Linked DNA regions of Sus scrofa. The protein of the gene in region 2 purifies or fractionates together with the protein of the main gene of each other region. This does not show direct contact. Links are inferred from orthologs where the notes say so. Each region holds a gene or a part of one and is shown on either strand. Other genes may lie near its edges. The genes, in order: DCC and CASP9.

Evidence for each region.
Region 1: the proteins of CASP9 (region 2) and DCC purify together in Homo sapiens (co-immunoprecipitation; 3 studies listed by BioGRID and IntAct, with this or other methods). This does not show direct contact. The link is inferred for Sus scrofa from reciprocal best matches to the Homo sapiens genes CASP9 and DCC.

The regions. Positions count from the first base shown.
Region 1 is NC_010443.5:102,714,844-102,718,662, reverse strand, and holds part of DCC (netrin receptor DCC), read right to left. Parts: intron 3,183-3,819; coding exon 3,034-3,182; intron 1,161-3,033; coding exon 1,022-1,160; intron 1-1,021. UniProt on the Homo sapiens protein: Receptor for netrin required for axon guidance. Mediates axon attraction of neuronal growth cones in the developing nervous system upon ligand binding. Its association with UNC5 proteins may trigger signaling for axon repulsion.
Region 2 is NC_010448.4:74,716,474-74,720,292, forward strand, and holds part of CASP9 (caspase-9), read right to left. Parts: coding exon 3,647-3,819; intron 3,249-3,646; coding exon 3,159-3,248; intron 1,979-3,158; coding exon 1,831-1,978; intron 1-1,830. UniProt on the Homo sapiens protein: Involved in the activation cascade of caspases responsible for apoptosis execution. Binding of caspase-9 to Apaf-1 leads to activation of the protease which then cleaves and activates effector caspases caspase-3 (CASP3) or caspase-7 (CASP7).

The DNA.
Region 1 (3,819 bases), on a different chromosome or scaffold from region 2:
TAGCTTGCTGCCTTGTTAATATTCATAGAGGTCACATCTCTACATTTTTGCACCTGCCTGAATTGTCACTGGCCCCATATCTTATGCTTTGCTGTGCTTTTATTTTCACTTTTCATTAAACTTCCCAATATTTCATTTTCATTCATTTCTTAGATCTCTAGTTTTCTCTGATACTGCTTTGTCAAATTCATCCTCTTCCGTATGATCTCTTCCTCTTTTTCATGGCATTTAAAAAAATAAGTCTAATCTTTCCTTTGTTAGGCAAGGTACAACTAAAAGTATAAATTTTCAAACATATTCAGTTTCAATACTTTCAATGCTGGATTATTTGGCCTAAATTTTCAAGACTTATTTTCAAATTAAGAGGTATATCTAGGAGAGAGTTCTCCTTGTGGCTCAGTGGGTTAAGAACCCGACAAGTATCCATGAAGATGCAGGTCTGATCCATGGCCTTGCTCAGTGGGTTAAGGATCCAGCTTGAGCTGTGATGGAGGTCACAGATGCAGCTCAGATCGCGTGTTGCTGTGGCTATGGCATAGGCCGACAGCTGCAGCTCTGCTTAGATCCCTAGCCTGGGAACTTCCATATGCCCCAGGTTCACCCCCCCCAAAAAAAAGAGGTATATGTTGGAGAACTGTCCATCATTTACACTTCTAATCACCTACCATCAGTTAGAAGGAGAACAAAAAGATACTAATGTAAATGAGTCCCCACACCTGCACAAAGGTGTTTGTATTCATAGGAATAACAAAACACACAAAAAATTATCTTGAGCTCTTAATCAGTAATCACACTTTGAGAATGACTAATTAGAACATCCTGACTCAGAATGTATATCTTTTCAAAGTTTAAATTTGACGGTACTAGATAGTTTGAATGAATTAGCAAAATTTCTAGTTTAGGCTAGTATATTTCATAGTTTTACTTAGAAAATTCTGACCATGGAATTTATGGCATACATACAGTATTACTTCACTATTATAACAAAAAGGTGAGTCAAATTTCACCGTTTATAACTTACCATCAGAAAGTGTAACCACTGTTATATCTTCAGTGGAGACTCCAGGCCCATAGCGATTATAAGCCAGGAATCGAAGACTGTATTCCGTGAATTTTTTCAAGCCTTCCAGTTTATAAGAGAGTCCATCAACCTCTATGTTCTGGAGACATAAAACACCAAAAGTGTTATTCAGGAGGCACATTAAAGCAGAAATGGCAGCCATTCTGTGCAATCAGTGAATTGGATATGAGACTCTTACTCACAAAACTACCCTCTAGTCTTATTATGAGTTGTAAAACCGAAATTGTGATCCACACTCCCCCACTAAAACCAAAACCACTCTGTAGACTCCTAGTTAAAATAGCACTGTGCTATTTTTACAGTCATTAAGCTCCAATTTGTTCAACATCACCCAATACATTGAAGGCTGTGTGGTGTTAACACCCACACCAAAACCCCGACAAGAAGGTGGCAGCTTGTAAATCCATGGGAACAGAGAGCTGCTCCTTTACCCTGAATGGAATAATTTACAAGAAACAATAGATTTCTTCCTCCTCTCGCTGAAATATACCCAGGATGCTTGAAACTGACAGATACTTTGCTACCATGGCTATCTCTCACAATGCTTTGAGCTGAAGTTGGAAATGCTGTCAGCACTTCACAGCTATGGAAATGAGTTCCTGGAGGTGAAGGCCACTGAAAAATCAGTGCCAGTTCACTCTAGAAGAGCCATTATTTAGCTCTCCATGATGATTCTCACACGTAATATCTATCCAGGGTAACACTAATTTTTAAAATTTATTTGAATGGATTTGGGAGTTCCTGGTGTGGCTGAGTAGGTTAAGAATCCAACATAGCGCCCCTGAGGATGTGGGTTCGATCCTTGGCTATGCTTAGTGGGTTAAGGATCCAGCATAGAGAGCAAGCTGCATCTGCATAGGCTGCAGATGTGGCTCAGATTCAGCATTTCTGTGGCAGCTGCAGCTCTAAATCAACCCCTAGTCTAGGAACTTCCAGGTGTGGCCATAAATTAAATAATTAATTAAATGGATTTGTGCAATTCATTATTAGAGAACTAAAATATGTAGAAAAAAGGATAGACTAGAACAGTGAAAATAGCTAAATAGGAGTATGGGAACAGTAAATAAAAAAACAATTGGAGTAAATGAATACATAGGAGAAGTTCTTGGTAATTATCATGAGGGAAAAAATTTCTGAATAGAATTTTTTTTAATGAAAAATATCTATCGTGCAGTTTATGTGGAAACATATGCTTGGCAAACTTCACAACATATTGTAAGAATTTCACTCTCCTAGGGTCACATCCGGGTCTTTCTTATTTATACACTTATCTGTGTATCTTTTTCTACATGAAGCTAAGAATCTGAAAGTAAACATCTCCATAGTAATATGTAAATCACAAAATAGAATGGCCAAGTTTCATGTGTCTCCCTAAAGACCCATGTATTGTAACTTAATCTGAAAATATAATTTTCCTGTTTTCAAATATATGTGTTCACCACAGATTAGAGGCAAAATTGAAGAAAGAAAAAGGTAGTCTTCTGGAATAAGGTATACTGCAAACAATGAGAAGCGACTGGTGACAGGCCCACGGTGAGGAGAAGGTAGAAATAATATCAAACATATGGATGAAAAGAAGAATGAAAAAAGCAATTTGATTGAGGTCATTGAATACAGGGTTGATCATCCCTTAGGATAAGGACTGAAAATCAAATATTTTCTGGCACCAGATGGGCTCATTCAAAGGTGCTTACACTGGCTCAGACCACTAGATGCTCAAACAAAATCAGCATCCTTTATGTTGACTTCATGTCACTGCCCATTTGCCTCTCTTACCACCAGCATTCAATTCAATTGCTTAACAGTTTAAATGACGAGTGCTTTAAAACTGATCAGCCATCCACTTAAAGTGCTGGATACAGGACTATATCAAGAGCATGTAGATCTCACAATTTCTCCAGTCATAGCATCGTCAAATAGGTGGCAGGAGTGGGGCCCATTATCTTGCCTACCTGTTCCTTCCCCGTGGACACTTCAGTGCAGAACAATCTGTAACCTTGGACGGGACCATTTGCATAGGCAGGGGGTTCCCAGGTAATAAGAATTGAGGTAGGTGAGGTAGATACAGCTTGCAGGTTCTCTACTGGTCCTGGAACTTGCACTGTTTACAAGAGAAATTGATTAGTCCAAGAAGGTTCTCTTTCTCAAAACAAACAGAATATCTTTTACAGTTCAAGGAAATTATAGCAGCATGTGCTACTTTTAGAACTGTATGGAATAAGCACGTCAAAACATAGAATATGCATAGAAAGTAATGAAGTTTTAGGATCATTCATTTTAAAATTCAGAAGAGGATTTACATTAATCTAAATTACTTATTTCATTTTTACAGTTGAGGAAACTAGTCAAGGAGTATAAATGACTAGGGTAATGGCAGAAGAGTGGGGATCTGAATCTAAATTCTCAGTATGGGAAAATTGTCACTTTTCCAGCATGGTTTTGCCTGTGTACTGCTAATAACTGCAGAAAGAAAAGAGAAAATGTAATTAGAATACTTGTAGATCATAGTCCTACTTATAATTTAAATAGGCAGCACAGTTATGGGTAATTTACCACATCATTGTCGTTATTTAGTTATCATCTTAAAATCTTGCCCAATCGGGTCCTTTAAATTAATTTTAGGATTTAATTTTCAATTTTACTTTATTTTCTCTCATAACTATTACTACAGTTCATCAAGAAGAAACTTGTTCATTAAAGGAAATAGATAGATACAGGTCCACAATCATTTAACCAAA
Region 2 (3,819 bases):
TCATATGACCAGAGCCTGGCCTCCTCGACAGCCCCCAACCCCATCCCTGCCACCATGGAATAGTACGGGACAGATAAATGTGTGGAGGAGAAAATGCCACGGTGCCCGTGTTACAGGTCGTTGGCATGCACGGCCCCCTCCTGGGCAAGCAGGACAGCTCTGTGGTATAACAATGCCCGCTTCTCTGGCAGACCAGACCAAGGCACAAGGGATACACTGTCCCTGGGACAGAATTCCCAGTTTTCCCCACCTCTGCCATCATGTCCCATAAGGCAGGACATACAATGTACTTTTCTTGTCCCTCCTCTTTTTTTTTATTTTATAAGAAAACTAAGGTGAAAATAGGGCTTTGGTTTAAAATCAGGATATATAAGAGTTCCCTGATGGCCTAGCACTTAAAGAATCCAGGGAGTTCCTGTCATGGCACAGCAGAAACGAATTTGACTAGTAACCATGAGGTTTTGGGTTCGATCCCTGGCCTCACTCAGTGGGTTAAGGATCCAGCATTGCCATGAGCTATGGTGTAGGTCGCAGATGTGGCTCAGATCTGGTTCGCAGTGGCTGTGGTGTAGGCCAGTGGCTGTAGCTCCAGTTAGACTCCTAGCCTGGGAACCTCCATGTGCCACAGATGCGGCCCTGAAAAGCAAAAAAAAAAAAAAAAAAATTCTAATAAAAAAAATGGAGTTCCCGTCATGGCTCAGTGGTTAACGATTCCAACTAGGAACCATGAGGTTGTGGGTTCGATCCCCGGCCTCGCTCAGTGGGTTAAGGATCAGGCGTTGCCGTGAGCTGTGGTGTAGGTCACAGACGAGGCTCGGATCCCGCATTGCTGTGGCTCTGGCATAGGCCAGCAGCTACAGCTCCAATTAGACCCCTAGCCTGGGAACCTCCATATGCCGTGGGAGTGGCCCCAGAAAAAAGCAAAAAGACAAAAATAAATAAATAAATAAAATTTTAAATTAAAAAAAACTTAAAAAATAAAGGATCCAGCATTGTCACTGCTGCAGCTTGGTTCACTGCTATGGCCCAGGTTCAATCCCTACCCTGGGAAATTTTGTATGCAGCATCCCAAAAAAATAAATAAAAAATAAAAATAAAATAAAAAAGAAATAAAATCAGGACATACAGCAAAACTATAAATAATCTAAATAATGTTTAAAAGTTACTGAATCCTGGAGTTCCCATTGTGGCTTAGTGGTTAATGAACCTGACTAGTATCCACAACGATGCGGGTTCGATCCCTGGCCTCGCTCAGTGGTTTAAGGATCTGGTTTTGCCATGAGCTGTGGTGTAGGTCACAGACGCAGCTTGGATCCCATGTTGCTGTGGCTGTGGTGTAGGCCAGTGGTGTAGGCAGTTCCGATTCAACCCCTAGCCTGGCAACTTCCATATGCCACGGGTATGGCCCCCAAAATACAAAAGACAAAAAAAAAAAAAAGTTACTGAATCCTCAGTACCTGAGCCCTTGGGAATTCCTTTAGGTAATTCCTATAGTTAATCCCTTTCTCTGGGACAGTGGTTGATGGAGACTGGGAAAATAATAAGGAAAGTGAAAGACATTTTCTCTCTCCTCTGCTTTGTTTGCTTTTGCCAAGTCTCTGGGGTTGAAGTGGCCAAAGCTGAATGATCCCCTGATGCTACTGTGCCATGAGACGGAAGACATGAAACTCAAAGGCAGGACAGAAAGGTGCCCCCTTTGGGCAGCAGTGACCATGTCCAGGACCTGCCTGGATCAACCCCTGGGACACTGTGAGGCGTGATGGAGAAGGAAGCAGGTGGCGGCTCCTTCCCCACGAGACACCGGGGCAGGGAGGCCGAGGACCCGCTTACCCCCGCCGCAGGCCTGGATGAAGAAGAGCTTGGGCTTCCCTCCCAGGCTGGGGCAGCTGGTTCCGTTGAAGATGTTCACAATTTTCTCCACGGACACAGGACATCCATCTGTGCCATAAACAGCCCCTGGGAACTGGAGGTGGCTGGCCTAGAAGACCAAGAATCCTGGTTACCAACCCAAGAAGTGAGAGTAGGAACCCAACAGCCTGTTCAAACAGAGGCTCTGTGGGAGCCAAGCATTTAAAAGGTCCTAGCCAGGGAACAAGGCTGAGTTAGACAAAGCAGGTTGGTGCTGGGCGGCCCCGGGCACTCTCTTCCAGGGTGCTCAAACCCACATGACTAGAGGCACCAGCCCGCCTGACTGGAGAGTGCTGGCCAGCTCCCTCTAGATCAGGGGTCCTCCAAGCGTGGTCCCTGGACCAACAGCATCACTGGGGAACTTAAAGACATGCAAATTCCCAGGCCCCACCCAGACCTCCTAAATCAGAAACCCTCTGATTCTGAGGATGAGCAATCTGGTCCTTCAGGCACCTCTGCTGCAGCACAACACTGAGAACTACCAGTCCAGACCCAGTTCTTCTCAAACTCTCCGTGCGTGGCCTCTCATTAAGGTACAGGCTCTAAGAGTCTGTATCCCCATGAGCCCCCAGGTGACATGTGCTGCCAGTCTAAGGGCCACACTGTGGATGGAAGGACCAAAGGGGCAGCCCAGCCACAGGCTGGAGCTTTCTTTACTCCATGAGGATGCTGGCCTGATAAGGTCAGACCTTTACAGCTTCTCAAAGGAAGATGGAAATCCTGATTCTTGTGCTAAAGTTGCCAGTTTTGAAAACACTATGCAGCACAAGGGGGGGGGGGGGCTCCAGGTGCCAGCTTGTTACGTCTGCTCTGTCCCATCCTTCAACTAGAAAGATGAGGAAACTGAGGCATGGGAAGGGGGAGGGGCTTGGCCACAATGACCCCGCACCTTAGCAGCCAAAGCCAGGGTGAGTTCCAGGGCCCTGACTCCCAGCCAGCGGCAAAGGGCCCCGAACAGTGCCCGGCAGGGCCGAGCAGGAAAGCAGGAACCGGGAGCGCTTACAAGCTGTGCCTGGCTCTGAACAAAGCCCTGGGGTAGGAGCTTATGAGCAGAAACTGGCTCTCCCAGACAGCTCCTCCCAGGACACCACCCCACCCAGGAGGAGCACCCAGCTCTTCAGAGGGCCAACTGGTTCCCAAGGAAATGATGGGAGATGGATAGGGCCCTACGGCTCTTCCCACAAAGGCCAGGGTGTCTTGGACACAGGAAGGGTCAGACTCCCGCATGACCTCTCCGCGCAGCCTCCTACCTGACAGCCGTGAGAGAGCACGACCACCACGCAGCAGTCCAGAGCGCCGTGGTCCCGCCGCGCCAGCTCCACCAAAGCCTGGACCATTTGCTACAAGAACACTGACGGGTCAGGTCCCCACCCTAGGCCTGCCCGCCCCTGCTCCCAGGCTCCATAATGAAGTAATTACAGCAATCTCAACAGCTACCACCCTTGGGAGGAGAGGCTGCACCGGGCGCTCCTTATCTACTCCTACAACGAACCCAGGAGGTGAGCGCTGCCCTTGCTGTCTCAACAGGGAAGCCCAGGCCCAGGCATCACACGGGAGATGGGACAGCTGCTTCCCAACTCTGCTCTCTGAGTCTGACATTTGCACAGGTAGCCACTGAGCCGCGCCACCTCCCGTGGCCCTGCAGACCAGACGGCTTGTCTTGGGGAGCTGCGTGCTTTCATCGTCCTCACAGGGCACCGCCCGCCCTCCAGCTCTCTCCACAGACAGGGAACCGCACCTTGGCAGTCAGGTTGCACTTCACGTCCACCACGAAATGCAGCAAGTGGAAGCGCCGCTGCATCCTCTCACAGTCGATATTGGAGCCAGTGCGCTTCCTGAGCCCCGACTCATGGCAGAAGTTCACGTTGTTGATGATGAGGCAGTGGCCACAGGGGTCTGCATTCAGGACGT